Mus musculus: one gene and its partners. The protein of the gene in region 3 interacts with the protein of the main gene of each other region in a biochemical or structural test. Links are inferred from orthologs where the notes say so. Each region holds a gene or a part of one and is shown on either strand. Other genes may lie near its edges. The genes, in order: Pink1, Uxt and Fbxo7.

Evidence for each region.
Region 1: the proteins of Fbxo7 (region 3) and Pink1 form a complex in vitro, tested with the Homo sapiens proteins (2 studies listed by BioGRID, with this or other methods). The link is inferred for Mus musculus from reciprocal best matches to the Homo sapiens genes FBXO7 and PINK1.
Region 2: of the proteins of Fbxo7 (region 3) and Uxt, one has a biochemical effect on the other in vitro, tested with the Homo sapiens proteins (2 studies listed by BioGRID). The link is inferred for Mus musculus from reciprocal best matches to the Homo sapiens genes FBXO7 and UXT.

Annotation. Positions count from the first base shown.
Region 1 is NC_000070.6:138,319,139-138,329,738, forward strand, and holds the start of Pink1 (serine/threonine-protein kinase PINK1, mitochondrial precursor), read right to left. Parts: upstream 7,159-10,600; 5' UTR 7,082-7,158; coding exon 6,695-7,081; intron 1,885-6,694; coding exon 1,600-1,884; intron 952-1,599; coding exon 851-951; intron 1-850. UniProt on the Homo sapiens protein: Serine/threonine-protein kinase which acts as a sensor of mitochondrial damage and protects against mitochondrial dysfunction during cellular stress.
Region 2 is NC_000086.7:20,956,372-20,967,145, reverse strand, and holds the start of Uxt (protein UXT), read left to right. Parts: upstream 1-5,167; 5' UTR 5,168-5,212; exon of another isoform or gene 5,213-5,296; intron 5,297-5,359; 5' UTR 5,360-5,368; coding exon 5,369-5,466; exon of another isoform or gene 5,467-5,470; intron 5,471-7,126; coding exon 7,127-7,208; intron 7,209-7,343; coding exon 7,344-7,411; intron 7,412-7,680; coding exon 7,681-7,788; intron 7,789-10,774. UniProt on the Homo sapiens protein: Involved in gene transcription regulation. Acts in concert with the corepressor URI1 to regulate androgen receptor AR-mediated transcription. Together with URI1, associates with chromatin to the NKX3-1 promoter region.
Region 3 is NC_000076.6:86,017,545-86,028,396, reverse strand, and holds the start of Fbxo7 (F-box only protein 7), read right to left. Parts: upstream 6,469-10,852; 5' UTR 6,375-6,468; coding exon 6,253-6,374; intron 6,244-6,252; exon of another isoform or gene 6,104-6,243; coding exon of another isoform or gene 6,067-6,103; intron 3,982-6,066; coding exon 3,687-3,981; intron 1-3,686. UniProt on the Homo sapiens protein: Substrate recognition component of a SCF (SKP1-CUL1-F-box protein) E3 ubiquitin-protein ligase complex which mediates the ubiquitination and subsequent proteasomal degradation of target proteins and plays a role in several biological processes such as cell cycle, cell proliferation, or maintenance of chromosome stability.

The DNA of each region.
Region 1 (10,600 bases), on a different chromosome or scaffold from region 3:
GTCAGGACCTCAGCAGGAGGCTGGCAGCACCCTGGCAGGTGTCATAGTAGCTTCAAGGCAGTGTGGGGAGATGGGAGATTTGGTCCAAGTTAGGTCTGTCTGCAGTGTGCAGAGACTGCAGCCTGAGCAATGCAGAAAGTCAGAGCTCTGGCTTCTGAGGAAGACGGGGTGAGCTTTCGGGAGTGGGGAGGGTACAGACAGGCAAGGGCGAGACCTGAGGTGGGAGAGGCAGCAAGGAGCAGAGTCCGAGGTTTCCGGACAGAGGCCAAGTGGGCATGCATGAGCCATGAGTCGTCTGGGGGGGGGGGTGTCTCTGGAGACCCAGCAGAATTTCAGCTAGTACCCTTGGCACAGGCACCAGAGGTAGAATACAGAACCAATTGTCAACCAGAGAAACCTGGAAAAATCGAATAGACACATAGGACCGAAGCCAGGCAGCTAAGAAAGTCATAGAAATAAGTAGAAGGGTTAGGGCTACGGGAGTTTGCACTTCAGGCTCTCAGCCACTGTCAATAGTGTTCCCGCCCGTGGAGACAGTACATGTGAACCACTAGGTGGCGCCTCAGTCACAAAGGCTTACCACTAGGTGGCGCTACACCCACACACTGCTTTGCCAGAATTAGGACAATGCCTAGCCTTCTGAACTGGGCCTCTTTGGCTGGTGTTTACTCCTGCACCCATGGGAATCAGCCACCAGCATCATTATTAGCCGGTGTGACACAAGTTTAACTTATCCACAAATCAAAAATTCTTACAGGACATCACGCGATAACTGTGCAGCGTAGTAGTGCTGGGGAGACGTTTATTCTCAAAGAGCACGTGATTGCTCGGTGGGCAAAGGAGTGCTCACCTGTAAGTAACTGCTCCATACTCTCCAGCCAAAGCCACGCGGCTTGCCGGGACCAGCTCCTGGCTCATTTTGCTTAAGATGGCTTCGCTGGAGGAACCTGCCTGAAACACAGCCACAGGGCACGTGTGATTAAACAGACCTGTGGGATCTGAACCAAGACGATGGCAACCTAGATCTGGCTTTGACCATCGAGGTGAGATAAACACCTCTAACGTGGCAAGCCCAAACCATCTACTCCCCGAAACCGGCGGAAGGTACCACTTAGAGAACGCTTGCTATACCTCGAACTCTTGGTAGTTAAGTGGCCCTGGGAATGAACAGAGGCCAAGATTTCAGAGCCCTTGATGCTTGCCACCAGGGATGTCTTCTGTCACCACCAGCTCAAAACTGACCACAGAGAGGGGACAGACAGCTTTGGATCATGCTGGGGTATAGAGAAGACCATGGCTCCTCCCTGGCCAGAGAAGCCAGTCATGGAAGGAGGAGTGAACGGTTTTATGGCTGACCTCAGATGAACTAAGCGTCAGCTCAGAAACCGGTGGTTTAGGCAGTTGCTGCTCAGAGTAGTTCACAGAACAGAAGCCTGGGCGGCACCATCAGAACTTGCGAAAAAATCAGACGCTCACATAAGACAGGAGAAGCCTAACCCCATAGGCTTTCTTGTGGAAAGCCTGTGAAAGTCTCCCCCAGTCCCCAAAGACAATCTCTTTGAGACGTGCCTGCTCAGAAGGAGGACAGTCCATCCTTACCGAGATATTCCACATCATCTTGATGGCAAAGGGAAAGGTGGGAGTCCCTGGAGCCTGCTCCCCGTCTGCTCCCTTCAGGACGACATCCGGGCCCTTTCCTATAAGGCCAAGGTGTTTGGCCTTTTCCAGGTGCTGGGGCAGCGTGGGCATGGTGGCTTCATACACAGCGGCATTGCAACCCTTGCCAATGGCTTGCCCTATCAGATAATCCTCCAGACGGAAGCCCTGCCAGCATCGAGTGTCCAGTGGGTCAGACACGCGCTTGGTTTTCTGTGTAAAAATTGCCTGTGAGGGAAAAGAATGTAGTTATCTGGAGGTGGAGGGCGGGGAATGGGGGGGAGGGGAGGGGCCACCTACATAGCAAACACAAGAGTGGGGAGGCACATTGATACAGGGTTCTCATGCAGCCTGCTTCTGCTTCATTGCCTAAGACAGTCTTTCTCACCTTTCTCTCTCTCTCTCTCTCTCTCTCTCTCTCTCTCTCTCTCTCTCTCTCTCTCTCTTTGAGGGAGGGTAAGTTGTTTGAGACAGGGTTTCTCAGTCTAGCCCTGGCTGTCCTGGAACTCACTCTGTAAACCAGGCTAGCCTTGAACTTAGAAATCCACCTGCCTCTACCTCCCAAGTGCTGGGATTAAAGGAGTGTGCCACCATGCCTGGCCTGAGACCTTGTCTTTAACAACTAAACAAAACAAGACAAGTAACTTGTATGGGCACTTTTTTCTTGCCATTATTCTATGAACAGTCACATGGCATTTGTTCCAGTCTGTGTAATGCCACGTTGGGCACTGTGAGTGATATACTAACAACTGACAGCTCACAGGAATATGGACGGGTCCATACAGTACTGTCATCTTATTAACCTGGTTCCTATGTATTTGGCTATCTGACTGAACAGGACCTAGAACCCATCCCCTGTGGTCACTAGGGGACAGCTGTGGCTTGCCCTGGAGCTATGCCAGGCTGGGCTGTGCACGCCTACACTTGTTGGTTTCTGGGGTCCTCGAGCCCTACCTACGCTAGGCAAGTACTGTCACTGAGCTATGCCCCTGCCCTGCATATCTGGGCTTGCTCTGCAGTTCCCTCTTCCTGAGTCCCTTCCCGATCTCTCCCCCAGGCCCCCATCTGCGTTCTTGCTGTGCCTGGCAAAACCCTATTGACTCAAGCCCAGACTGGGTCACCCTTCCTCCAGGACCAGCCCTGGGGACCAGCCTGTCACACACGCCTTCTGTGGTTCCTAAGGCACTGGGTCCCTAGAAGCTACTATATTTTAAACCAAAGCTTCTAACTGTTTAATACAATGGAAATGGGTGTGCCCTTGCCCATAGCTTTACAAACCCAAATCCCGAGGGGTGGGAGAGATATTTGCAGAGTGATCCCCATCAACCAGGGTTTTGAGCACAAGATACCATACTGCGGTAGCACATTCCACACTGCATCACTGCATGGTCCACACTTAACTGCAACCACACTTGCATGTGTATATGCACATGTGTGTGGGCATGTGTGTATCCATGTGTATGCATGCGTGCACACCTGTGCATCAGTGTGCAGCCTCCTACAATCTCACTTCATGTGGTCTCATGTGATGACCACCCAGTCAAGACACAGGGCTGCTCCGTAGCCACAGCTCCTTGGTTCCTCCAACCTCTGTACCACCACAGTGCCATCCTCAGATGACCCATATTAAGAGTTAGACATGGAATCGTGCAGCGTGCAGCTTTCTAAGCCCCAGTTTCTACATTTAGCCTGCTGCCCAAGGTACATTCAGGTCCCAATCTGCATGTCTAGCTGGTTGCTTGCTAACTGCGGAGGGAGACTTCATCATGGACATACAAACCATGGCTTATGTTACTGTCTCTTCACTCACGGGTGGATGTTTTTGTTCCGGGGTATTATGAACAATGTTGCTACCATCATCAATATACTACACTAAATAGATTTATATTTAAATTGTAATTTTTCTTTTCTTTTGAGACAGAGTCTCCCTACATCTATATCTGGCTTGCTCTGTAGACCAGGCTCTCCTCAGACTCTGTGATCTGCCTGCCTCTGCCTCCCACAAGTGTTCAGACTAGAGATATGGTCCAACATGCCTAGCACATATTGTCAAATATGTCTGACATACATTTGAATACTTCTGCAGTGTTAGGAACGATCATGTTGCTAAGCAACCACTATCATCATTCCAGCTCTGCAAAACTATAAGGCTCTGTGCCTACTATAGAACGATATTCCATTCTTCCCCTCTCTGTCCGGGCATGCAGAGAAGCCTGGCTCTTAGAACTAGAGCCGTACACTGTCTTTAAGATTCATCCATGTGTAGCAGGTGCCAGAATTCCTTTTCAAAGGCTAGATAATACCCTCTATTGTATCTACTCCGTTTATCCATTCATGCACTGAAGGACATGGGTGGGGTGGGGTGGGGTGGGTCACTTCACCCCCTGGCTATAGTCAGTAAGTAGCCTTGAGCTTCAGTGCAGAAAGGTCTGTATACGATTTCCATTATGCCAAATATTCATACAGAAGTGGAATTACCAGGGAGAATGAGTCTATTGTTAATCTTCAGAGGTTAGGGTTACTGTTTTCCATAGAAACTGCAGCACACAGGGTTTTGTGTGACTGTTTCTGTTTCCCCCCAGTAGATGCTGACAACTTCAACGACAGGCTGGTGTGGTAAACACCTATTTAATTTTGTATTATGTTCCATTGGCAACACCACCAGGAGTGAGTGCTCTGTTTCCCCACCTCATGGTGTCGGCTATTGTTCTTACAATAGGTTAGCTATTCTGGGAAGTGTGAATGGATAGCTCATCTATTTTCCATGCACACTTGTCAAATGGCCAGGGTGTTGAAAGTCTTTACACCTGCTTACCTGCCACCTGGCCTCATACCTTTTCCTATTGTTTGTGTGCTTGTTTGAGGCAGGGTTGCCCTGCATAACTATGCAAGACACAGGAACTGGATTCCAGTACTAGGAACAGGGAGGAGAGGAAATGCTTGTTTGGTCCTTCATTGATGGTTTAGAGCATGGTGCCTAAGCCTCTGCTGCTCAGCCCTTACCCTGAAGCATGCAGGGGCTGGTCTGACTCAGCAAGGGGTTCTAAACCCCAGGGGAAAGGCTGCTCTCCTCCAAGAAGGCTGAGTTCTGGCAGCCAACCACCCAAGAACTTAAATTGCAGAGCCAGCTCTTCCCTGGGCCTGCTTGCCGGTTTTAGATCTGCGAACCTAGCCTGAGCCAACTCCTCAAAATAAGTCCCAGACTCTAATAGACACATCCATTGTTTCTGTTGGTCTGGGTGACCTTGACCAGACAACTGTGCGACTAGAGAGGTCTCTGTGCTATTTTAAGAGTTTAAAAGGCTCCAGAGCTTCCATGTATCCAGTCATAACTCCACTCTGGTTAAATACTAACACGTTAGATCTTCTGTGTTCTCCTGAAATTCCAGCGTTGCTGCAGTTTCTGCTCAGCCTCTCTCCCACTGTTTGGCTAAACAGGAGTGGCAGGCAGTCTGGCTCAGCTGAGGGCCAGCCTTTTGAAGGGTGAACTTTGGGCACTGCCTTTTATCAGCAGTGTGATTTTGAGTAAACCTTCTCATCTCTCTTGAGCATGGACTCCCTGTAAATTAGGATGATGAGTGCACCAAGGAATGAGAGTGGTAGGGGTTTTAGAAGATGTGTATCAAGCATGGTGGTCCATACCAATAATCCCAGCACTTTGGAGATAGAGGTAGAAAGATCAGAAATTCAAGGCCAAGGAGCTGAAGGGGTTTGCAACCCCATAGGAAGAACAGCAATATCAACCAACCAACCCCCCCCCCTCCTAGAGCTCCCAGGGACTAAACTACCAACCAACCAAAGAGTACACATGGATGGACCCATGGCTCCAGCTGCATATGTAGCAGAGGATAGCTTTGACTGGCATCAATGGGAGGAGAAGCCCTTGATCCTGTGAAGGTTCGATGACTCCGTGTAGGGAATGCCAGGGCAGTGAGTTGAGAGTGGGTGGGTGGGGGAGCATCCTCATAGAAGCAGGGGGAGGAGGAATGGGATAGGGGGTTTACCGAGGGGAAACTGGGAAAGGGGATGATAACTTTTGATTTTTTTGGGGGGGGGGCAGGGGGTTTGAGACAGGGTTTCTCTGTATAGCCCTGGCTGTCCTGGAACTCACTTTGTAGACCAGGCTGGCCTCGAACTCAGAAATCCGCCTGCCTCTGCCTCCTGAGTGACTTTTTTTTTTCAATTGGATATTTTATTTATTTACATTCCAAATGTTATCATCCAGCCGGGCTGTGGTGGTGCACACCTTTAATCCCAGCACTTGGGAGGCAGAGGCAGGTGGATTTCTGAGTTCGAGGCCAGCCTGGTCTACAAAGTGAGTTCCAGGACAGCCAGGGCTACACAGAGAAACCCTGTCTTGAAAAACTAAAAAAAAAAAAAGTTCAAGACAAACCTGGGCTACATATACAAATCAAGGCTCTGTCCCCCTTTTATGCATCCCAAAAGAAAAGAAATTTACTCAAAGCCATTTGTTACAGTGCAACAGAGACCAATAATCAGCAGCTTTTAAACCATACTGTTTGCAAAGTGTCGGCATATCAGGCCATCAGTAATGGGAAATAGGTCAGCCTTAATTAACAGATCAATTCCAAGAAATGTATAGTCCAAGTCATAGATAGATTTTAATCTTTGCCTTATCCCCTGATCTACCTACCCCCCCCCCCAAGGTCTAGGCATGTCCTCATGCTCTTAGACACATAACTAAGATGCCACCAGCCACTCAGTCTGGTCCACGAGTACCCCACCCCCTTAAATTGCCCAATCACGGCTCAGAGACCTGCCCTTCCCAATGCCCAGGCTCCTACCACGCCCTGGTTCACGACCCGCCCCTACACCACTAGGATTCTGAGGCTGCCCCAACAACTATCCAACTAACTCCGCCCTTGCTGTCCAATTTGGCCCCGCCCCACCCAGATCACTCACTCTCCTAACCCCGCCTCCTCCTGGCCTAGGCCCCGCCCCGGCCCGGCTGGCCTCAGGGCTACACTCTGGCCCGGTTCGGCCCGCTCCCGGCGCTCCCGCCCACCGCCGCTCTCACCTGGATCTCCTGACAGGCCGAGGCGGCCCTCCGGCCTTCCGCCTGCTTCTCCTCGATCAGCCCCAGCCCCAGCCCGAAGGCCAGGAAGACCGCTCGGCCGCAAGGGCCTGCGCCGCCCCGGGCCCGCACCATGAACTGCCTCTGGATCCGCGCCGCCAGCCCAGCTACCGACTGGCGGAAGAAGCGGTAGCGGTCCGGGAGGGGGAGCCCGACCGGCCGAGGCTGTGCTCCGGGGCTTACGACCTGGCCTGGGCGCTCTCCGCGGCCCCAGGCCGCCGCGGGGCCGGGCTTCCCCCAGCCGAACAGCGGGCCGGGCTTGGGCGCGAAGCGCAGCAGCAGCGCCCGACCCAGCTGCAGGCCTCGGCCCAGTGCCTGTCGCACCGCCATGGTGGCGCGGTGACCGGAGCCAGCTGCCACCGCCACAAACGTCTGGGACAACAACAAACTTCGGGGGCGGCGCCTGTGCGCAAGCGCGGGGGGCGGTCCCCGGCAGTTCTCCTGCGCAGCACGCGGGGGCGCTACCCGCTCATCCCTGCATCCCTTGGTGCAGCTGGTTTGCACTTTGAACCCAGGTCGAGGGGTTGTGAACAACTTCACTGGTCCTGGTTAAGATGAGACGTTGAGCCAGGAAACTAATATTTGTTATCAGTCACCGATCCAGGCCCTTTACACCTGTTAGCTAGTTTGACTGTCCCCCCCATGATATGAGTGCCAATTTTGTAGATAAGCGACTGTGGTGTTTCCAGATTGCTTGCAGGTATTAGAGTTGAGGTTGAAGTTCACACTGCCCTGGCTATCGAGGGAAGACCTTGGCTCTTCTCCCCCACTCCCAAGTGCTCTCATGCTCCTGTACAGACAGGTTGGAGGTTCCGGGGCTTAGATCTTGGAGGGAAATCTTGACCAAAGGCCATAATTTATGCACCAGTGGGTGCAGGAGCTGAGGTCTGAGACTGACTGGGAGACTTAACCAGAAGCCACCCAGATGCTTAATAAATCCCTATGACTTAAACTGCTTGTTACGAATAGCTAGCTGATAATAAGGTTATTAACCCTGTTACTATTTTTACTCATTTTATTTTACTTTATTTGAGACAAGGCCTTGCATAGCCCTGGTTGGCTTGGAATTCTTCCTGTAGACTAGGATGGCCCTCTGGAGTGTGGGGATTACAGGTATATACCACCACATCAGGCTGAATAATCTTTTTGCTTGTCTCTGACTTAAGCATAATTTTGTGTGTGTGTGTGTGTGTGTGTGTGTGTAAAATCACATAATACCAAATACTGGTCATCCAGTGAAATTTTTAATTTTTTTCAAAGCCTATTTTTTTTGGGGGGGGGGGGTGTTGAGACAGGGTTTCTCTGTATAGCCCTGGCTCTCCTGGAGCTCACTCTGTAGACCAGGCTGGCCTCGAACTCAGAAATCCACCTGCCTCTGCCTCCCAAGTGCGGGATTAAAGGCGTGTGCCACCACTGCCCAGCCTTCAAAGCCTATTTTAAATGATGGTTCTTCAATGCTTTAACCTCTCTTTTAACCCACTACCCACCAGAGGTAGTGTTGGGAGCCGCCCCCACATTCGCCGTCACAAGATGGCGCTGACATCCTGTGTTCTAAGTGGTAAACAAATAATCTGCGCATGTGCCAAGGGTATTTTACGACTACTTGTACTCTGCCTTTCCCGTGAACGTCAGCTCGGCCATGGGCTGCAGCCAATCAGGGAGTGATGCGTCCTAGGCGAAATATAACTCTCCTAAAAAGGGGACGGGTTTTCCGCCATTCTCTCTCGCTGGCATCTCTCTGGCTCTGCGCGCCCTGCGCTCTCTCGCTGCCTAAAGATGTAAACAATAGAGCGCGCTCTGCGCTTTGGCGCGCCGGAGCTCTGGCTCCTAAAGATGTAAGAAGGGGCTTTCGCTTTTGGGGCTGGGGGTTTGCGCTCCTAGCTCCTGAAGATGTAAGCAATAAAGTTTTGCCGCAGAAGATTCTGGTCTGTTGTGTTCTTCCTGGCCGGGCGTGAGAACGCTATTAACAAGGTAGTGGGAAAGAAAGGAAGTGGACCTGTTTAGAAAGGTTCTTTGGAGCAACTCCATCTGTGTTGTCTGGAAATCGGCAGTTCAGTTCACAGGAGACAGTGGCAGCTTGATCCACTCGCAAACACTTCACAGATATAGCACAGTCCAGTTCAGTAGAGTCAGGATAGCAAACATGAATCAGCAACGGTGGCACTACCTAGCAGAGACAGCCAGGCCTCAGCCTTGGCACTAGTCAGCAGGAGGGATAGGAGGGGACACCAGAAGTTCTCATCTGTGCCTCTCTCAGAGATGGGAAGACTCAGAGACCACCAAGCATTGCACAGCTAGCTTTATAAGCTAGCTCCGCCTTTGTCCTTGTATGTGAAGTCCTATTTATATTCCCTCCAAACATTACATGCCTGCCACTGCCACGTGTCTTGTCTCAGCACATGTGTCTGTCTCAGCTGACATCACTCCGCCAATCATCCTGAGTCCCAGGAAGCTGCAAGAAACTGCAGCATGGGCCAGAGAGATGGCTCAGTGGTTAAGAGCACTGAGTGCTCTTCCAGAGGTCCCGAGTTCAATTTCCAGCAACCACATGGTGGCTCACAACCATCTGCAGTGGAGTCTGATGCCCTCTTCTGGTGTGTCTGAAGAGAGCAATGATGAATATATAAAATAAATAAGTAAATCTTAATTGAAGAAGAAGGAGAAACTGCAGCACACCATCAGAAGTGTTTTGGTGCATTTCTCTCTGTGGAGTTCCGACAAAGGAGCTCAACTCTGCGATGTAAGGCGGACCAATACATGTGTGTTGTTAGCAACGAGTCCTTCGTCACGTGCACTTTCACATGTTTGCTTTAGCAGAACATCCTTTTATCTGTGTCTGCTTCGGGGGAAAATGTTCCCTCACAAGTCTTTCTTAGCCTTCACCTGTGTCCACTTCAGCAAATGTTTCTTCATTTGTTTGCCCCAGTGAAACAGCATCCAACACAACTGACTTTCCAAAGAACCCTTAAGTTTCTACTTCAATCCAGCTTCAACAATTGTCAGCAAATAGCCATTTTATATTTTCTCCTAAAGTCTCTTATCTTCTGCTCCATTTGTGTGTGTGTGTGTGTGTGTGTGTATGTATGTGTGTCCAATAGAAGATAGAGTTTATTGCAAAGTAAATCATTCTTGGGGTGTAAAAAGAGACAGCTGCCAAATACAGCAGTGACCATGATCTATTATTTTAACTTTTTCAAAACTTGCTATGTAGAGCAGAATGGCCTTCAACCCACAGAGCTACACCTGCATTTTATAAACACTGTAAGGAGTTAAGGCAAGAATAAAAGGATAGATGTTCTCCCATTTACATACTGTACGAAGGCAAGTGAGTGAGACAGATCTCTAGTGTTAAGGGTCATGGCCCTGAGGTCCCTTGGGTAGGCAGCTACCAGAGGAATGTGAAGGGACTTCTGGATGCTCGTGACCTCATTCATGATCTATATGTTTACGTGATAAAAAATTCATTTTACTCACCAGGCAGCGTTGTGGATTGCCCTCGTTTTGTTTGTATTTTGATGCTAATTCTGCTTCCCAGAGAGGGGCGGCCTGGGATGAGGAGTGAATCACATACTCACGTGACTTCACATGACCCTTCTCCCATACTAACTTGTAAAATAAAGGCTAGAGCTGATGATTGAACAGGGGAAGGGAAGGTGGAGCTGAAAAGTTTTGGAGAGAACGAGAGGAGGAGGTGGAAGGAAAATGGAGCAAAAAGCACTTGGCCTGTAGAAACCGCAATAAGCTATAAGGGATCTCATAGCTGGGGAATATAGTAGCGGTAGATCTGCCCAATCTAGGCACACAGCTTGTACATATTAATTGAGTTGTGTTTTCATTGCGCAGGCTTAT
Region 2 (10,774 bases), on a different chromosome or scaffold from region 3:
CCTTTAATCCCAGCACTGGGGAGGCAGAGGCAGGCGGATTTCTGAGTTTGAGGCCAGCCAGGTCTACAAAGTTGAGTTCCAGGACAGCCAGGGCTACACAGAGAAACCCTGTCTCAAAAAAACAAAAAAAAAAAATTGGGGTACAGAGCTAAGCAAAGAATTCTCAACTGAAGAATACTGAATGGCTGAGAAGAGAAGCACCTGAAAAAAATGTTCAACATCCTTAATCACCAGAGAAATGCAAATCAAAACAACCCTGAGATTCCATCTCACACCAGTCAGAATGGCTAAGATCAAAAACTTAGGTGACAGCAGATGCTGGTGAGGATGTGGAGAAAGAGGGACACTCCCCCATTGCTGGTGGGATTGCAGGCTTGTACAACCACTCTGGAAATCAGTTTGGCAGTTCCTCAGAAAATTGAACATAGTACTACTGGAAGATCCAGCAATATCACTCCTGGGCATATACCCAGAAGATATTCCAACTTGTAGTAACATGCTCACTATGTTCATAGCAGTCTAATTTATAATAGCCAGAAGCTAGAAAGAACCCAGATGCCCCTCAACAGAGGAGTGGATACAGAAAATCTGGTACATTTACACAATGGAGTACTACTCAGCTATTAAAAAGAATGAATTTATGAAATTCTTAGGCAAATGGATGTATCTGGAGGATATCATCCTAAGTGAGGTAACCCAATCACAAAAGAACACACATGATATGCACTCACTGATAAGTGGATATTAGCCCAGAAACTTAGAATACCCAAGATACAATTTGCAAAACACAAGAAACTCAAGAAGGAAGACCAAAGTGTGGATATTTCATTCCTTCTTAGAAGGGGCAACAAAATATCCATAGAAGGAGTTACAGAGACAAAGTTTGGAGCTGAGATGGAAGGAAGGACCATCCAGAGACTGCCCCCATGGGAATCCATCCCATGAACAACCACCAAACCCAGACACTATTGCAGATGCCAGCAAGATTTTGCTGACAGGACCCTGATATAGCTGTCGCTTGTGAGACTATGCCAGTGCCTGGCAAACACAGAAGTGGATGCTCACAGTCATCTATTGGATGGAACACAGGGTCCCCAATGAAGGAGTTAGAGAAAGTACCTAAGGAGCTAAAGGGGTCTGCAACCCATAGAAGGAACAACAATGTGAACTAACCAGTACCCCCAGAGCTCGTGTCTCTAGCTGCATATGTAGCAGAGGATGACCTAGTCGGCTATCAATGGGAGGAGAGGCCCTTGGTCTTGCAAATATTATATGCCACAGTTAAGGGAATGCCAGGGCCAGGAAGCTGGGAGTGAGTGGGTTGGGGAGCAGGGGGAGGGGGAAGGGTACAGGGGACTAAACAATTAAAGGGGATAGCATTTGAAATGTGAATGAATATCTAATAAAAAAGGAAAACAAAACAAAACAAAATTTTTTTTTTAAAAAGGCAAAGGAGGGTAGCTAGTTCAAAACCTCAACTACATATTAAGTTCAAAAATAGCCTATATATACTAAATAGCAATACTATATTTCAAAAACAAAACCAACCAAAACAGTAAGACCATGCACTCATGACCCATGAATATATAAGCCATTGAAACCGTGTAAAATGTCAGTAAAGAAGTCTGTGTCTAACTAAAATGCCATCTCAAATCATGATGGACAAAGGTGAATTTTCAAATAAATATGCTCATTTCCTAAGAGAGCAGTAAAAAGTTACCACAGACTGGCTGGTTTAAACCAATAAATTCTATTCTGTTATAGTTCTGGAGACTGTAAGTCCAAACTCATGAGATCATAGAGCCAAGCCTTTTTGAAGAAAATGTATTCTATTCCCTTTCTACTCAAAATCTATTCTATGCCTCTTTCCTACCTTCTCTAAGGACAGCAGCAATCATTGATATGCCTCAGTTTGTATTTTTGAAGTTCCAAAAATCAAGTCCAGGGCATCATGCAAGCTAGGTAAACATTCTACCACTAAGTTATGGCCTCAACCCTTTAATTTATAAACATATTACCATGCTAGTATCATTTTCATCGCTGTGACTAGACTTAACAAAAGAACAAATGAGGAAGGACTTTTTTATGATCACAAAGTTTTAGACATCCTAGCCGGGTGTGGTGGCGTACACCTTTAATCCTAGACTCGGGAGACTGAGGCAGACAGATTTGTGAGTTCGAGGCCAGCCTGGTCTACAAAGTTGAGTTCCAGGACAGCCAGGGCTATACAGAGAAATCCTGTCTCAGAAAACCAAAAAAAAAAAAAAAAATTTCAGATATCGCATTTCCAAGATCAGCTTGGTTGGGGTCTTTTTTTTTCCCCCCTTTTAGGCCTCTTAGCAGGGCAGAAAGTAATGGCAGAAGGACATCATGGAGAAAAGCCACTTATCTCATGGCAGCCAAAAAACAGAAAAAAATGGATATAGGAATATATGTGTGTGTGTGTGTGTGTGTGTGTGTGTGTGTGTTTGTTTATAAACACACACACACACACATGCCCTTGGGGTGTTACTTCATCCAAGTAGGCTCCATTTCTTATGAGCAATTCAGCTATAAACTTATCAATGAATTAATCCATTGAAGAAGTCATCATGATCAATCACTTCTCAATATTGTCACCTGCGATGGATCAACCATAACGCATATGAGCCTTTAGAGAAGACATCTCGTATATAAATAATAACAATGACCCTAATGTCTGCCAGTTTTCAGTTTTCACACCATCTCCTATGTCTTTCTCTTTGTTTTATAAGAATATTTCTCGCTGGGCAGTGGTGGCACATGCCTTTAATCCCAGCCCTTGGGAGGCAGAGGCAGGCGGATTTCTAAGTTCAAGGCCAGCCTGGTCTACAAAGTGAGTTCCAGGACAGCCAGGACTACACAGAGAAACCCTGTCTCGAAAAACCAAAAAAAAAAAAAAATTCTCATTGGTTTGGGGCCATTTGTTTAACTCAGAATGACCCCCCACCTCAAGATCCTTAATTATATATGTAAAATTTTTTCAAACATATTCTGTGGCTATATATCTAGACATCATTCTACCCGTTAAACACAGACGTTTGCAAACAGATTAAGTTTGACTTGGTGCCTTACATCTGCAATGCCAGAAGTTGAAAGGCTAGGGTAAAAGATTTTAAGTTCAAGGCCAGCATGGACTAGACAGTGAATTCAATGCCAGCCTGGCTATATGACAAGACTCTAACTGAAAAATAAAGCTGTAGATAAATATTAAATTGGGCCCATACCTTATTACATATATCCATACTCTAGATGGACCAAGATTGAAGTGTGAAAATGAAACCCTGGTTATATTTCTTTCTAGTCTGGACATGGGGAAAGCAGTCCAGACTATGTGTAACTGTGCTACACAGTCAGACACCTCAGAGGAACACAATGAGTTGATATATGTAAAATGCTCAGAACTATGTATGGAAGGGGTAAATGTTTGATGAATAGTGATCACATCTGCTCTTATTCAAAATAGCAATGGTCATGCCCAACAGTGTAAATCGTGAGACAATGCTCCCTTCCTGCAGCTTTCACATTCTTCCCACTTTGCCTTCTATTCTCTAAGACTTAGAATAATATAGGTGATTATTACTTTCTACCACCTTGAGCAGCTCTACCACAGCAACAGACACATTCCTTGCAGTTGAACCAGTTATGAATCTTCTTTAGTAACTACCTCCCATTGTAAAAAAGAAGTTTGCTATCTCTATGTCAGGAACAGCAGTAACCTACAAGCCGCCGTGCAGAGTGAACTCAGGCTGTCAGACTGGTTAGCACCGTTTAACCAGTGAGCCATTTGGATAACCTAAAAGTATCTTTTAAATTAAAGAAAAATTACATGAAATATGTTAATAAACTTAACAGACCCAACTCTAGTCTATCTAAACTGTTCTCCTTAGCAAATAAAGATTAACTAATATTATATAGCTTCCTAATATCTGCTTTAAGCACATCAAATTTACTTTTAAATACATGTAACATCAAATTTTGGTTTTGGTTTGGGGGACAAGGTTTCTCTGTAGCCCTCATCATGGACTGCATGCCACCAAGCAGAAATTCATTCAAGATAAATTTCTTAAAATTTGTCTCCATTTAAACATTTTTATGTGCTCTTATTCATTCCCTTTATGGAGGGTGAAAACCAAACAATGTGTGCAACATATATTTTTTTCAAACAGATCCCCACAGGATATACTGCCTTCCTTATAGATTAGTACCATAATCCTTGCTGGTCTATAGGCACTCTTGTGCTTTTAAAATTATTAAATGCTTAAGTGGTCTCAGTGAGTTCTTTTGGTTTTGATTTGGTTTGTTTGTTTTAAAGAGAATATGAAATTGGAGGAAAATGTGGTAGGAGGAGTCTAGGAGGAGTTGGAGGGAAAAGGGAGTGGAGATGATGAAAATATATTGCATACATCTATGAAACTCTCAAAGAATAGAAATGTTTCTAAAAGAAAAAAATAGGGACTATATAGATACCTCAGTAGTTAAGAGCACTGGCCAGTCTTATAGAGGACCCAGGTTCGATTCCCATTACCCACATGGTGCACACAAACTGTTGGTTGCTCCAGTTCCAGGGAATCCCACAACTTCTTCTGGCCTTTGTGGGCAATGCACGCATGTAGTCCATAAACATGCAGACAAAACACATAAAATAGGAAAACAAATGTAAGAGTAAGGAGGGGGGAATACAGAAATGGCTCATCAGTTAAAAACACATAAAACTTGCAGAGAATGTAAACTCCATTATCAGCACCCACATCATGGTAGCTCACAACTGCCTATAAGTTCAGTACCAACGCGCGCGCGCACACACACACACACTTCAAATTACTAATTATAAACACTTAACTCCCTCTCCCTACCTTCCTGTAAGTCCACCCTCCCTCAGAACCCGCCAAATCTCATTGAACGTCACCCAAACCAGTCTCCCGCCAGCTCGCGACGATCCGCCTGCTGGCAGACCGCGGCGTGCCAGGCCCATCTAGATCCATAGGATCCTGCTACCTCCAAGGATTCACTCAGGCCCCGCCTGCAGCCCTTCCCCTAAGTGCATCTTCCCACACGCCGGACCGCCCCTCCCATCGATTTGGTTGGCTCCCTTGCTGGAAATTACATCATCCATCCGCGCCACCCGGAAGCCGCGGCTCATACTAACAGTTATTGCCGGTGGCCCTACGGTAAACGCCGTACTCCTGTACCGGTGAGTGAACGAGTTCCAAAATCGGGTTGGGCAGAAGCAACTCCGTAGCTCGAGCCGAAAGAAGTCATCCCCAACGTTGAGTGGCTGGAGAGAATTTTGTGAAGTTTAAATAGAGCGCTCAACGTGCCCCCCCCTTTACTCCCCCAGGTGCCCGTCATGGCGACGCCCCCGAAACGGCGGGCCTTGGATACGGTGGGGGAGAAAGTGCTGCGGTACGAGACCTTTATCAGTGACGTACTGCAGCGAGACTTGCAGTGAGTGACAACGTGGGAGGCGTGACGTTTGAGAAATTTCACGTGGTGGGTGGGACAGAATGCCGACCAAACTTTCGGATTGGCCGCCCAGACTTCTGGGAATAGGGTTGACTTCTGGGCTGAGATGTGGTTGGAACTTGTCCCTTTAGCAGAGCTCTGACCTTGTTTGTTGGTTTAAAATAGTCATTCCGAACACAGGGTGTTTCTGACTAGGCCATTTAACCAATATTTATGAACAAGTTGTACCTTACTTCACCTTTGTGAACTTTATTCATCTGTGAAATGGAAAAGTTTATTAGGCCTTCTTAACGTGGTGTTTGAGTTTTAAATGTGTCAACTCCGGCACTTGGGAGCCAGAAGCAGGAGGATCTTTGTAAAGCTGAGAACCAGTCTGGGCTACAGACTAACTTTCTCAAAGGGAGAAAAAAATAGAATAAAGCCAGGCTCAAGCTCCATGGTGTGTGCCACTTCTAGTGGAGAGATGGGAAAATTCACTTGTTTAGCCAGGATTACAAGCCAGCCTTGAAAATAGAACAATATTCTATTTTAAAAAAAATCCAGTGTGGTGACACAGGCCTGCAATTGCTGTACTTGGGATAGTGTCAGGAGCAGGATGACCCAGAGTTGAAGGTGATCTTCACCTACATTCGAGGTTGTGTATAGCCTGGGCTTTGAGATTATGTCTCAAAACAAGCAAACTAGGGCCAGCAAGATGGCTTGCCTCCAACCCCATGCCCTAAGTTAGATCTCTGGGACCCACATGGTGGAAGAAAGAAAGACTCCCAAAAACCTGACCTCTGACCTCCAGGTATGTATCATGGCACCCATACATGTACACAAAATAAACACATAAATGCAAGTAAGAACACATTTTAAAAATGCAGATAAACCCCACTATTATTATATTGAGGCTGAGAGGAAAGAATTGTTTGGTGTGTTTACAAATTCAATACTTAGCCTGAGAAACTCAGATATTGTCTTGGGTAATAAAACAAATAACCTAAATAGTTGTTTTAGGAAAGGAATTTGACCCCAGTGCCTGAAATACACTAAAGACTCAACAACTGGATGATTGCTATTGCTGTCATTACTAATCTGAATAGAAAGTTAGGTATTTAGAACTAGGACTGTGTGAGCATGCTAAAAGAGATGGAGAGGTACATTTAGGGTGAAGATGGGACATTTTAATTGGCATAAGTCACTGAATAAAATGTAATATTTATAATTATAATAGGTAACAAGTATATAATGCTTACCATTTGGCTAGCATTTAAAACACTTTGTAGTAAACACTCGATTCTAATGACTCTTATGTGCTACTACGGCCATCTCTGTTTTCTATGTGAAGAAACTTAATCCTAGGTAGGTTTTCTACTTTCCATAGTCACATTCCTAGTAAGAGGTAGAGGTCAGGCTGAACTACAGTCTGACCTGTATTTATTGAAATGCCTGCTGTGTCTCTGTCTATACCCCATTGTGTGTGTTTTGGAGGAGGGGAGCACGGGATCTCACGATGTAGCACAAGCTGGTCTTGAGCTCAGAATCCTCCTGCCTCAGCCCATGAATTACATCCATGTCAACCACAACCTGACTTAAAATGCCTGGCATCTCAAGAGGAATAAGGCTGCCTAATGTTCACTGTTGTATTTCTACATATCAGAAAGGTGCTGGATCATCGAGACAAGGTATATGAGCAGCTGTCCGTATATCTTCAACTAAGAAATGTCATTGAGCGACTCCAGGTAAAGGTTTTTAAATTGGGTACCACTTTGTGTATGTGTACAAAGAAGGGAGGCGGGAAGAAACCCCAAGAACAAAACCTTATCTGCCTTTAAAATTGCCCGCTGACACCTACCTCTTTTCTCCTGGCCCTATAGGAAACTAATCACTCGGAGTTATATATGCAGGTGGATTTGGGCTGTAACTTCTTCGTTGACACAGTGGTGTGAGTATATTCTCTCCCCTCCTGAGTTTCTCCCTTTTTTCATGGAACAAGTATTTCTTAGTATTTTCTATATACAAGGCTCTAGTAGCTTTTATATTTCATTAGGATATGAGCAACATGTTGTGGGTGTGGCCAAAATGAACACAAAGTATCTGCCTTTACAGAGCCTTCATTTTGAGAAACAGGAAGGAATAGGAAACACCTTAAACCATACAGTGTGCTAAATAGTAATAAAGACTTCTTCCACTTCCTCTGACCTCTTTCCTCAGCCCAGATACTTCACGCATCTATGTGGCCCTGGGATATGGTTTTTTCCTGGAACTGACACTGGCTGAAGCACTCAAGTTCATTGACCGAAAGAGTTCTCTCCTCACAGAGTGAGTGCATTCCAAGAGGATAGTATCTAAAGCCACTACATTGGCTAAGGGTACAGGGAAGTGGTAAGAACATTTGCTTAGCATGTGTGAAGCCCTAGGTTCTATCCATATCACACATCACACAAACACATACACAAAATATATAAAAGCCAGATATGGTAGTTCACACCTGTAATCCCAGGATTCTAGAGAATCAAGCAGGAGGATCATGAATTTGAAGCAACTCTGGGTGATAAAACAAATCTCTGTGTATAAAACAAACAGAAAAAATAATAAATAGACATCACAAATTTTAATACTCTACCCTTTTCCCTGTGGCTACCTGGGATGGTACTTAGAAAAACATACTACCTTCCTCTTCGGGGCTCAGACTAAGAAAACTGAGGATGCAAAGTTCAGCCAGGGTGTCATACTAAACACTCAATAAGTACTTTTTATATTATTCCTTCATACATTTATTGAGTATCTTATGTATACCAGGTTCTGTGGTTAATGTTGAGAATATAGCAGTAAACAACAGAAGAGTCTTAGAAGCTTACATTTCTAGAACTATGTTGAAATCTCATGTACATACATCTGTGACCACATCCGTGAGATTTCAACCTAAGAATCAGTTAACAGTCTAAGAAGCTGCTTCTCACTTAACTATCTGCTCATTTTCCTGCTCATTTGTTGGTCTCTCCCCTCTCTGAACTTCATGTGCCTGTACCCACACATGCAGAGACAATGCCTTCCTCTATTGCTGTCTGCTTTATTTATTTCTCTTGAAATAGGGTCTCCACCAAACCTAAAGCTTGCCATTTTTTGGCTTCAGCAAGCACCCATGCCGGGGTCAGAGGTGTGTGAGTTTTTCCATTGGTACTAGGGATCCAATTCCCATTCTTATGCTTGAGCAGCAAATGTTCTTGTCCACTGAGCCACCTCCCTAGCCCTAACACATGCTTTAAGCATTTCCCACCTTTGGGAGCATTCAGTAGCTACTGGTGTCTGTCTGCTCTGCAGCACTTTCTCCATGTGGTTTCTTTTCTCAATACTTGATTGTCTTGCATAAATAACAAGCTCCCTGAACAAGTTCTTCTGTGATCTAACTTCAAAATTGCAACTCCTAGTGTTCTTGAATTGCACCCCCTTCTACTTAAAAAAATGACCATTAGTGTGTATATGTGCATGTCTGTGGACATATGTGCTATAGCATCCATGTGTAGATCAGAGCATAGTTTTGTAGAGTTGATGCTATCCTTCCAGGGACTCCATGAATGGAACTCAGATCCCCAGGCTCATGTGACAAGCACCCACTGAGCTATCATACCAGCCATCTTCTAATTTTTTCTCTATCTACCATCTTAGTACCTGTTAAATTGTACTGTGAAATGCCTTTCTTTCTCACGCTCATTGTCTTTTACAGTCAGATAATAAGTATCACTTACAGTTTTTTACAGGGCTGAGACTTGAAGCCAAGGTCTCCTGTGTAGTAAGCAAGAGCTCTATTACTGAACTCTATGTCCCTAGCCCAAGTTACAGGCAGTGTAAAGGAAAAAGCTTATACTGTGGGTAACTAAAATAGTGTAAAGCACAGTTTCTTTTGAATGAATTATGCTAGAAACAAATGAAGGGATGGTCAAAACTTATCTATGTGGGTAGTGGTGAGTAGAGAAAATGTGGGCTCCAAGTTTTGTTTTTGTGTAGGGAAGAACTACTTTGGGTGAGAAGCTTGAAATATAGATAGTGCTGTAGTTAAAGAGATGGCTCAGCAGTGAAGAGCATTTATTACTCTTTCAGGAGTCCCAGGTTCTATTTCCAGAGCCTGCATAGCAGTTCGCAAGCTTCTATAATTCCAGTGCCAGGGTATCTGACTCCCTCTCCTGGCCTCTGAACACCAAGCACACAAGTGCTATACAGACATACATGCAGGCAAATCATCCATACACATAATACGTAGGTACTGGAGGCCACACAGAAGGCCTCAAACTCCCACTCTCAGACAAGTGACATTTGAGTCAGTTTATTGGGTGAATCAAGCCATGAGCTATCTGGGGAAGAATATTCTTGACAAAAGGGACAGTGTGTCTGGCAGGCTTGAAAAACTGTCACATGTGACATAGCTTAGGAAAAATGAGTATGAGGGAACGTACTCCCTTAGATAAATAACCACTCACAAGTATGAGCACCTGCAATGATCATTCCTGGATTCGTTCCTAGAGTTGTCGCCTGTACGGTTCCAGTAGTTCTTCTCTTAAGCTTTCCAGAGATTTTAGTATTAGTAGACCTGAAACCTGCTAAGATTTCTAAATTTTGCTGATCAAACTATAATTTGATCAAGGTCATTGTAATGCTGAACTATGGACATTTAGAACAAGTCCCACTTTTTTTTTCTTTTTTTTTGGTTTTTTGAGACAGGATTTCTCTGTATAGCCCTGGCTGTCCTGGAACTCACTTTGTAGACCAGGCTGGCCTTGAACTCAGAAATCCACCTGCCTCTGCCTCCTGAGAGCTGGAATTAAAGGTGTGTGCCACCATGCCCTGCTACAAGTCCAATTTTTATCACATGTTTTCCTCCTATGTCACAGGGGGTTTTTGTTTGTTTGTTTTATTTCTGTTTTTAATGAGAATTGATATATATATATATGTACATACATACATACATATATGAGGTATTTGAAGTTAACAGACTCCTTGCCTGGTCTTTCTAATCTGTTGAACTGCTTTCTACCAGTGTGATGAAATGTGTGCTTGACCTCATATTGCTCTATTATAACTAATAGAGCTACCTCAAAGTTTCATCATCCTAGATTAGGATTTGAGTCTGTATAGTTGAACTCTCTCTTTAAAACTTACTTACTTGGGATCCACTTCAAACTAGCATACGTCTGGTTATTTCATGTATCCAAAATTGCCTGTAGGTACTTATTGTTTTTAGTGTATTTCTTTGATGATTATTGTTGTTACATGTGTATATATGTATACGTGTGTATGTATGTATGTATGT
Region 3 (10,852 bases):
AAAAGCTCTGAGAGGTCTAAAAATAGGAGTCATGTGTTCATTTAACAAAAACGCATTTGCCTTCTTCCTCACACTTAGCATCTTTGCTACACTTATACAAATGCATAAAACAAGTTCTTCAGAGACAGGCAGTAGAGTGCAGGCCTAGAAAATTAAGTCCAGAAAAAGTAGGCATGTAAGGCCATCATGACCCCACTCCCTGACTTGTCATCTGTTCACTGTCTACCAGCCCTTTCCTGCCACTGCAGAATTCCCACTTCTTCAACAGACCCAAGGGATGCCACCCACAGCCTTTATACATTTACCTCACCATACTGTATTGCTATTTTTCAATTCACATATCTGCATCTCTCCATGACTGCAAATTTGTGTAAAGTACAAGACTACACAGGTTGTCCATTTTGTAAAAGGAACACAGTACCTGCTACATGGTGCACATTCAGGGAAGGCTTGTAACCAACTGCCGAAGGATGGCATACTACACTTGCCTGGTTTTGCGTACCAGGCACTCTCTCATAAAACTTAGACAGAGAAGAGGACAATACCTTTTTATAAATAGTATAATTTTAACTCAAATAAATAAATAAATAAATGACTAGTCAAGATAACCAGTTTATACAGCTTTGAAATGAACCAGGTCCTCGGATTCACCATTACGGCTTCTGAATATAAAAAATGCTTTAGTAAAGCTAAGTTGCTACATTGATTTTATTCAGAAAGCTTGTTTCCTAGTTTGTGCTCAACTCTTAATACTAAGCAACTTTTTTCTTTTTAGGATTGTATTTCCAAAAGAATCAGAGCAGAAGAATTTAAAGTTATATAGTATAAGGCAAGGTTGAAGGACTTGTATAGAGCCACAGCTGGCATTTATCCTTTCAAAATCAGCAGAGCTAAAGCCTAATGGCTATAGAAAGGTCGAACTTGTTACCTGAACTCTAGGCAGGTGCAGTAACACACACCTATAATTCTTGTACTGGGGAAGCTAAGGCCGAAGAATTTTAGAGTTCAAGGTTAGTCTGAGCTATATGACAAGACAAAACAAAAACAAACAAACAAACAAACAAAAATTAAAATTTAAAAGACTACCTAAAAGATGTTGCCGCTCAGCACGATATAGCTGTCCCGTAGGAGGCTCTGCCAAAGCCTGACCAATACAGCTGACTGAGCACAGGGACCCCAATGGAGAAGTTAGGGCAAGGACTGAAGGAGCTGAAGGAGTTTGCAACCCCATAGGAAGAACAATAATATCAACCAACCAGAGCCCCCAAAGCTCCCAGGGACTAAACTACCAACCAAAGAGTACACATGAGGGGACCCATGGCTCCAGCTGCATATGTAGCAGAGGACTGCCTTATGGGGCATCACTGGGAGGGGAGCCCCTTGGTCCTGTGGAGGCTCAATGACCCCAGATAGGTAGGGGAATGCTAGAGCCCTGAGGCAGGATTGGGTAGGCGGGTGGAGGAGCACCCTCAGAGGCAGGGGCCAAGGAGAGGGAGTAGAAGGTTAGTAGAGGGGAAACTGGGAAGGGTGATAACATTTGAAATATCAATAAATAAAATAACCAATAAAAAAACTTTTAAAAAAGATGCTACTGCTCAAAACATTTCTATGATTTTCTTTGAACAAATTACCATATTAAAAATATTAAATATATCAAGTCTAAATTATGAAAATAATCTCTTCACTTTTCCCCATTATCCTACTTTAGCCATTTATTACTTAGTAGCATGGGACAAAGCGTGTAATTTTTAAAAAAGCATTACCCTAAACTGCTAACTACATACCCACTGAAGGCTTATCAAACCATATCCCTAAGTCCAAGAAGCTCTGGTACCCTCTGATATGAGTGTTTATCATCTTCCATGTGCGAGAACAGAAAAAAGCTAAGCATTACTTCTACGCAATCCTGTACAGGCCACTGACAAAAAAATGAAAGCAATTGGCTAAATTGCATTCCACCTCCTGTCAGGTCTGATACAGGTTATCCCTTGCTGTCATTAACAGTAACTCCCAAGAGCAATGAAATAAAACTAACCTATATTTAGTTATAAAATAAAATTCCTCTCCTCTGGTTTTGAGTCTTACCCATCCATTTATCTTCCTTTTCCACAGTTCCCTTCTATACTGAACTTGCAGATCATACAGATTCAAGGACTCCAAGCTCAGCACCCCAGCAAGGTTTCATAGTCACCCCATAAAAACCTTACAAGACAAACGGTATGCTCTTAGAATTGCTCTTAGACCTGGAATCACTACCTTCAGGCAGGCACTCTCTGAAAGAGCCAGCCTGTCAGTAAAAACAGAGTCTGGAGTCAAGTTTAAGTATGCAGCCACATATGCTTATCCATCGCACACATTGCCCTATGAAGCAGAAACACACAGAGATACAAGAATGATTTGAAAGACAAATTAAAATTACTGTATGTGGAAATTATTTTAACAATTTATGAACCTATTAAGTATTTTAATAACCACCTATTCAGAATATCTGCCTATTCTATGTCATGGATCAATGTTTAAGGCTTGCAAAAGAAATTAAATTGGGTTGATAAGAATAAACAAAAACGGCTAAGAATGGTATATGTTGTCAGTATTAATTGTTTTGTTATACAGAGAAACCCTCTCTTAAAAAAACTAAAACAAATAAAGAATCATTTCACAAAAAATATAAAACAAATAATTAGGGGCTGGAGAGTTGGCTCACTGGAAAGGCACTGGCTGTTCTTATAAAAGTCCTGAGTTCAACTCCCAGCAACTACATGGTAGCTCACAACCATTAATAATGGGGTGTGATGCTCTATTTTGACTATACACATTAATAAATAAATCTTAATAATAATGATGATAATAAGGAACTTACAAAGTAACAAAGATCACCATTAAATGTTTAAATTGCTGAACTACAATTAGCAAGGACTCTGGAATACAGACAGAAGTACAAACAGGAAAAAGAGAGTCAGCAAGGGCCCCAGGCCACATCTTCACTGGTCACAAGGTCAGCAGGTTGTGCACTTGTGTGAGTATGAAAATGGAAAAATGGGAAGGATCGGGAATCTGTACTAACTAGAGACAGGAAAAGAACAGAAAGTAAACCTGGAGAGGTAGGGTGGGACAATAAGGGATTTTTCTCCTCTGTGAAATAACACAGAATAGAAAAATTAGCGTCAAAAGAGACAGAGGTAGTACAGAGCAAGAGAATGCCACAATGAAGATGCAGGAAGCAGACAGCCTGAAAAGTAGAGTAAAGAACAGACTGGCAGCCTGTGGTATAAGAAGTCACTAGGCACAGGAGACCAGTGGTCCTCTGAGGAGCAGAAGAGCTCCTGTGGGGGGGCCATGCAAGTTAGAGTGCTAGCATATTAGTGCAGACATTCAGCAGTTTAAAAAAAAAAATGTTCAAGCAGGGCAGTGGTGGGCACACCTTAAATCCCAGTACTTGGGAGGCAGAGGCAGGCCAATCTCTGAGTTTTAGGCCAGCCTGGTCTACAGAGTGAGCAGCAGAGAATAGCCAGTACTACAGAGAAATCCTGTCTTGACAAACCAATCCAAATCAAACCAAAAATGTTCACAAAGGGCACAGTCTACAGTTTACTGATGCTAGTCATGCTGACTGGTGTAGAATTCCTCTGAAGAATCAATATACCTTATCAATTACTCTATCCCATCTCTTCATCTACAATACCCACCATACTGTCATCAGTCCAGGCATCAAATGGGGTGGCCTGTCCTTGGGATGAATCAGTCCCTTGTTCATCTGGGATGTTAGTCTGACTTGGGGTGGCAGCCAAAGAAGGTTGGTCATTATCCTGGAGTGAGGAATGCTCTGTATCTGTAGATGAAGGTAAGTTAGGTGCCGGCATGTCATCTTCAAGAACCAAACATATCAAGTCCCCAGAAACAATCCCATATGAAGCCAAGGTCTCTTCATCTCCAGTGAGGGCATCCTTGTTGTTCAATGTAATTGCAAATCGGGTATCAGAACTGCCAAGAAAGATGGATGAGCATAGTAAGAGCTACCTACCAATATTCCAAATAATACATTTGGAATACATTAAAGTACATGCTATGTTCCCAAAAGCTCTATATAATATTTTAAAAAGAAAGAAAGAAAGAAAAAGCAGGAGACAAAATTACTTGTTCTCATCAAAAGCCTGGGTCATAGACTTGTAACTGGAGCTTTAGTAGGCAGGGAGGCGAATCAGTAACCTACACTTCACCAATTCTAAAGCACAGACTTTGCAGTACTCATCATCTCTGACCATGAGGAGCTTCTTAAACTTAACACATCAACCAGTTTAACCCACAGCTTTGCTTCCAGCTTTCCATCGTGCTGGGGCTTCAAACTCCAGTGTCAGGCTGGTGCATCAAACGCCTCAGCCAACCCGCCAACCCCCAACCCCATTCATTTTTCTTAAGACACATCCATTAAAGAGACATTACTGGAGTTAAAACTATTCCTACTCCTCAGGAAATAAGATGCTCTGATGCTTGCAAAATGTTCTGGTCAACAACAAGCTGAAAACCTGCCAGGGGCCCAGGGACACACCATGTCAACCTTGGCAGAAAGGGGACTCCCCAAGCAAACAATTCGTTCTGTAGATGGGATAAGGAGCGGTCTGTTTAACAGAAATGCCAGTTTTCCCTCCCACTTTTCTGAAGTGTTTTCCAAGGCCCTATTTTCTGTCATTTTGGGGGGTCAGGTGATTTTACCAAAAATAATACAATTCCAGAAGCTTGCATATATACATATATGCAATCTTTGATCTGCTTACTAGAAAATACTCTTTAAGAATAACAAATGTGTCACATGAACACATTTTAAAGCTTCTCTTCTGTTCCCTAAATGAACAAAATTTCAGAGAAATGAGTTTACTTTCACAAGCTGAGGCTTAAATTCCATCCACCTAACCAACTGCAACTGTGAAAACAGCATGCAAGAGAAACAGAGCTCTTGGGTTTCCAACCCTTTCAAAACTGCCCTGCTTAACTGAGAAGTAAGACTACTTGTAAATACCTTAAAAATTGAATTCTCAAAGTGTGAGGAGAGATAACTGTTATCAACATTGAAAACACTTGGTTTTACACCAATAAGTAACATGTGGGTAGGTCACCATTATATGGAAATATATATTATATATAATACAGCAACATATTTTCTTTTAATATGAAAAAATGCTCTTTTTTTAATGGTTTGGCTAACATTATTATCTTATTAGACAGGGTCTCACAATGTAACACTGGCTGGTCTGGAACTTGCTATGTAGACCAGGCTGACCTTGAACCCTGCCTCTTCCTCCAGAGCGCTAGAATAAAGGTGTAGCTCAGGCTCACTTAATGGGGGGATGGGAGCAGGGAGGAAGGGTGAAAAAATCTATTCAGGGTCTCACTTTGCTTAACTCCCTACAAATAAAGTGAAAAGGCTTATTTAAAATGCCAATTAATGGGAAACGTTTTTCTTTGAAAATTTTTCCCTTTAGAAGCCCCAGAGCCCATCTTTTTAATTTTTTTTTTCTTCACTAGTTCAAATTTCTAGCTCAGCACTTGAAGTGGGTCGTCCATACAGTTATCTCTCTATGTCCTGAAACTATCTTCTGCAGAAACACAGACGCTTCATCTGCAAAAATTAGTAATAGAACCCCATAAATTAGTAATAGAACCTAATCCTTTTTCAACTTGCCATGAAACTGTAAGCTCTCTAGGGTCATGCCTCTATTCGTGAAAAAAAAGCAACATTCTCACCCAGAGAATGCCCGCTGACAGGCGTACTTCCTGAACCCTTACAGTGAGAAAGTGAGAAAGTTACAGTTAGGTGCAGTCTGCCACTTGCACGCTCAGCTGTTTTTAAAGTTACTGTAGCCTTGGGCAGTGGCACAAATTACAGTGACCTAAGGTGTCAAGACTTTTGTCACCTTGAGCACGATGCTTTTCCGATTTAACCACTGAACTATCCCAACCGCAGAGGTAAACTCAAGTTAACACCGGGAGATTTAACGCAAGCCAAGCTTCCCGAGTTCCCTTCCCGCCCTCGGGGCCGCAGCGACCGAAACCCCGGAAGTGACTACTCACCGGGGAGGACAGCGGCACCCGGGGGAGGCTGGGCCATGGTCTCTCGGAGCCGGACCCCGGCCAGCACCCAGCTGCCGAGCGTCACAGTCACAGGCGCCCAGTGCAGCTACACCCGGGAGGCCCGGGCCTCACGTGACCGCTCGAAGCGCGCCATCCCCCGAGCCCCACGACAGCGACGCGGCTCACCTGAACCCCAACGTGGGCAGCAGGACCTGGCTGAGGTGCGCGCGCAGCTGCCCGAGCGTTGGCTCCGACTCCGGCACCTCGAGCGGCTGGGTCCGCTTCTGAAGCCGCACGCGCAGCTTCATGGCGAGAGTCGGACCGCAAGCTTCGGTCGGCCCCGGGAAGAAACCGAAAGCAAGGAGCTCCGGGCCTGCGCTCCCGAGGAATCCCCAGCGCTCGCCGCTCGGTCGACTACGCCCCCTAGAGCCTTCCGCTCGAGCGGAGGGCCGAGCGCCTGCGCTTCCCTATCGCTGGCTCGGCGCGCGACATCGCCACCTGGAGGCGAGGCGCGCACGGCGCAGGCGCTGGGTTTGCTTGGGCGCACTTGAGTCTCTACGCTTCTGCTTCTGCTTCTGCTGGGGTGAGCGAGTTTGTTCCTTCCCTCCCAGCAAGCAGGATCTTTAGCTCTGGAAGGAATGCTGCCAACAGTGTGGAGACATGACAGACGGCCCTAACCTGATGTCACTGGTTTCCGTGCCCAGAAATGAACTGCTCTATCCCTGTCATTAGAGTGCTCAGACCTGCCTGAGAAATAATGTACACAGGTCCCCTGTGATGACTAAAGAAAGTTAATGTGGAGCCAGGGATCCCTTAAGGGCTGTTGGATGCCTGGGAGGTACTAGAGACCTGCAGGTGAGATAAGAATAGGATAATGGCTGTGAGGATAGTAACTGCTGCCTTTGCTTCTTTAAAACTCACTATCGCTATGGGAAAGGGATGAAATGATCTTTTAATTACTATATAGCGGGAAGGTGAGAAACAACTGAGGAAAGTAAAACAGTTTTCCTGCCCAGCTTGTATTTCGTGGTAAGTTGTAATATACACCTTTCTGATGTCCAATTTAAAACCCCATCTTATCCTTAGTCCCCCTTCCCTATGGAATGCTGTTTGGGCTCTAAAGCTGCCTTCCTTCTGCTAGCAGTAAGCATAAACTCATTTTAATATAAATTTGAATTGAGCCTAAGTCTTTGGTTTCTCCCAATGGATTTGAAGGCCACAACAGTATAGCTCTTCACTTCTCACGATAAATCTTGATAAACCAGACTGCCTCCATCTCAGGCGTAAAAGCCATCTTATAGTAAAGACAAACTAGGTTTCTCAAGGATTGGGCTATGTCCCACCTGTAACCTTAGCTACAAATGGCTCTGTACTGCCCCATGCCTTTATTTTAAAAGGTTATTATGGTGACCCTGTTGTAACCACCTTGCAACCATGTCTTTGTTTCAAGAGGCTGTTATGACCAACTTGGTATGCTTATGTTCTGCTTCGGTAATACATGCCTATTTGCCTGCCAAATCCTCATCTGGAAACCCCCTACTCCTGAACTATTACAATCTTACCTTACCTATGTCCAGCCCATGTATACATACCAAGAAAAGCTTGATTAATTAATTTGGCCATGATGGTTTGGGGTTGATGGTCTTTCTCCTCGAATCTGTGGGACTGATTTTTTTTTTTCCTGTGGGATTAACAGCATTTACTTCCTTTCTTCCTTGGCGCTGCCCTTAGGAACTTGAAGCTGAAGCCAACTCCTTTAGCCCCTTCATGTTACCACAAAATTTAAAGCAGCTTTTAGTTGTTACACAGTGTCTTAGTAAAATCTTTTGCTGCATATCAATTGTCCTCCAAAGCTTACTAACCCACATCAATAAACATTTGTCGACCCACAAATTCTGTAGATTGGGAACTTGGGTACAGGGTGGTTAGGTAATTCTGTCTCAGGGTCTCTTGCCAGAGCTGCCTGAAGACTTGACTACACATATCATCAAACGATTGGCCCCAGTTTTTCACAGATTTTTTTTTTCCAGAAATCTACTTGAATGTCCACATAACATGATAATTGGATTCCCTGAGAGTAAGCGACCCAAGCATTACCAAGACAGAAACTGTGAAGTCTTTTACAACATAGCCTCAGAAGTTACATATTTATTTCCATCTTTTTTTTTTTGCTACAAGCCAACATTTTAGTATAAGAATATCAAACCAAAAGCATGAATACTGATAAATAAATCAGATTGGTTTGAGACTGGTTGTAATAGAAAACCAATCTTTATGAAAGAGGATATTCTTGAGCTGGGCAAAAAGTTTGAGACACATTCTAGAATACATGAGAAGCCACTGGAAAGTTGTGAGGGGGTCTCCAATATCACGGTCTTTAGTTCTAAACAGTGGAAATTGACTCTGGGCAACTACCCAGGAAGGGGTGAATTAAAGGGATGATATATGGCCCAGCAGATTCTAGGAAGGACTGGAGAAAACTTATAACCACACTGAAGACGTGTCCTGATTAGGAATATATCAAAGTTGGGTCTGCGGGAAATTGCTGTCACCACTGCTAGGGAGGACTGGGGAGTGACTGACCCTGTCTCTGCTACCCTCAGATTCCTTGTGGGTTTTGCTCTGTCCTGCACCAACAAAATGACAAGCTTCCAAAAGATTCTGTTTTCTCACCTTACTTCCCAATCAAGGGTCTATATGGGGTGCAATCTGACTAAGGAAGTTTGGGCCCCATACCTGAGTCCTCACTGCAAAAGAAACTGAAAATCAGAATCTGACTCCTTTTTAGGAGCTTATTAGAATTTCCCCAGAAGTGTAAGGAAGGTGTTCAAAATTTGAGAAGAAGCCATGAATTTGACAGATGTGCACTACTAGGGCCATGCTCTAATCTGAAGTATATATATGACTTATAAAAAGGGTTGGCGGGGGAACTGTTGTGGTAAATCTCCAACCCAAATATGCCCTGGCAATGAAAACACAACTCAATTAATATGAATACATGCTGTGCGCCAAGACTGGGCAGATCTACCGCTACACTACCATCTTTTCCATAGAAGAGACCACTTAGAACTTTTGGTTTCTCCAAGCCAAGTGCTTCTTCTGCTCCACTTTCCTTTTTCCTCCTCCTCTCTTTCTCTCCCAAAACCTTCAGCCCCACCTTCCCCTCTTACTCTGCCCAATCGCTGGCTCTAGCCTTTATTTTATAAATTAAGGTGGGAAGAAGGTTTACAGGAAATCACCAGAGTGCTGACTCATTCCTTGTTCGCAGCCCCTCACGGGAGAATGGAATTAACATCAAATGTAATTAGCCCCAGGGAACACCTGTAGGGCCTTAGCATTGTCTCAGGGGCCAAGGGGACTTGCTATGCTTCTTGCTATGCTGTGGATTTAATTGTCAGCACCCACAATGCTGCTCACAGCCATCTGTAACTCCAGTTCTCGAGGATCCAGTGCTTTCTTCTGGCCTCTCTGGACACCAGGCAAGCCACGTGATCCACAGACATGCAGGAAAAACACCTACAGACATTAAATGTTTTTAAACTTTAAAATAGGGAATCTGTCCAACTCATTGTAGGTGGGGTATCTGTATAGATTGTTTGGGCTTAGGTTGGGAATATAGTTCAATGGGTAAATATTAGGTCTCAAGGAAAACCCCACGCATCCCACATCCCAAAAGAGCAGGCCTACTAACTTGGTCCACAAGGACCATCTTGGCTCAGATGATGCTGGACAGTAGGATTTGCTGGCCGACTCCTTCAGCATTCCTCAGAAATTTGTGAAATGGGTCTGCTAAAAAGGAGTCATTTCCATTAACCTGCCCTTCACTCTGGCAAAAGGGACCAACTGACATATACCTGTATTTGTATATCAATGCCCATACAGGCCTTCTGGCCAGTTCAGTCCCTATTCACACATATTGTTATGCATTGAAAAGCCCATACTAGCATCCTGGCCCCTTTCAGCACTCTAAAATCATAGGCTGTTCCAGTTCATAGTTTCCCTTCCTTGGGCTACTCATCCTCCTTATAACTAGAATGGTTTTCCCATGCTCCACTACCCTAGCTCTAGCCATGCCCCATCTGGTCTTCTTTCTTCTCTCTGCTTCTGACTCTTGCAAATGCCTGTGGATCTCCTTTCTCTCTTACAATAAAAAGCCTTCCTCTTCATAACGGAGCAGACATTTGTGTGATTTCTTTGCTGTCCCTCTGATGACAGTAAAGTGCTTGCCACACATTCACAAAGCCCTGCGCTTCATCAGCAACACCGCGCAAGCTAAATATAATGGCGCATGCCTTAGTCCCAGCACTTGGGAGAGGTGGGAGACTCAGGAGTTCAAGCTCACCCCTGGCTGCTTACCAAGCCCAAACCAATTTAGGTTACGTGAGACCTGATATAAGTAATAGCCAGGCATAGTGGTGCCTGCCTTTAACCACAGCACTCGGGAAGCAGAGGCTGAGCCATCTCTATGGCTTCAAGGCCAGCCTGATCTACATTCCAGGCCAGCCAAGGAGAGCTCTTGTCTCATTCATAAATAAATAAAAAGCAGACACTGGCCACCAGGTTCTCCCAGCACCCATTAGCCCCTCCCTGTCACAGGGCCCTCATGGTTTCCCACCTCCTACATGAACTCTCCAGCCCAGGGGCTGGGCTGCTCTTCCCTATATAATCCAACCATTTTGGTTACCCACCCTCTTTGTATGTTTGGGCCTCCTGGCTGCTGCTTCTGGTTCCCCTGTGCCTCCTCTCCCTTCCCCTGCCCCTTCCACATGGCACAGGTCAGCGTGAT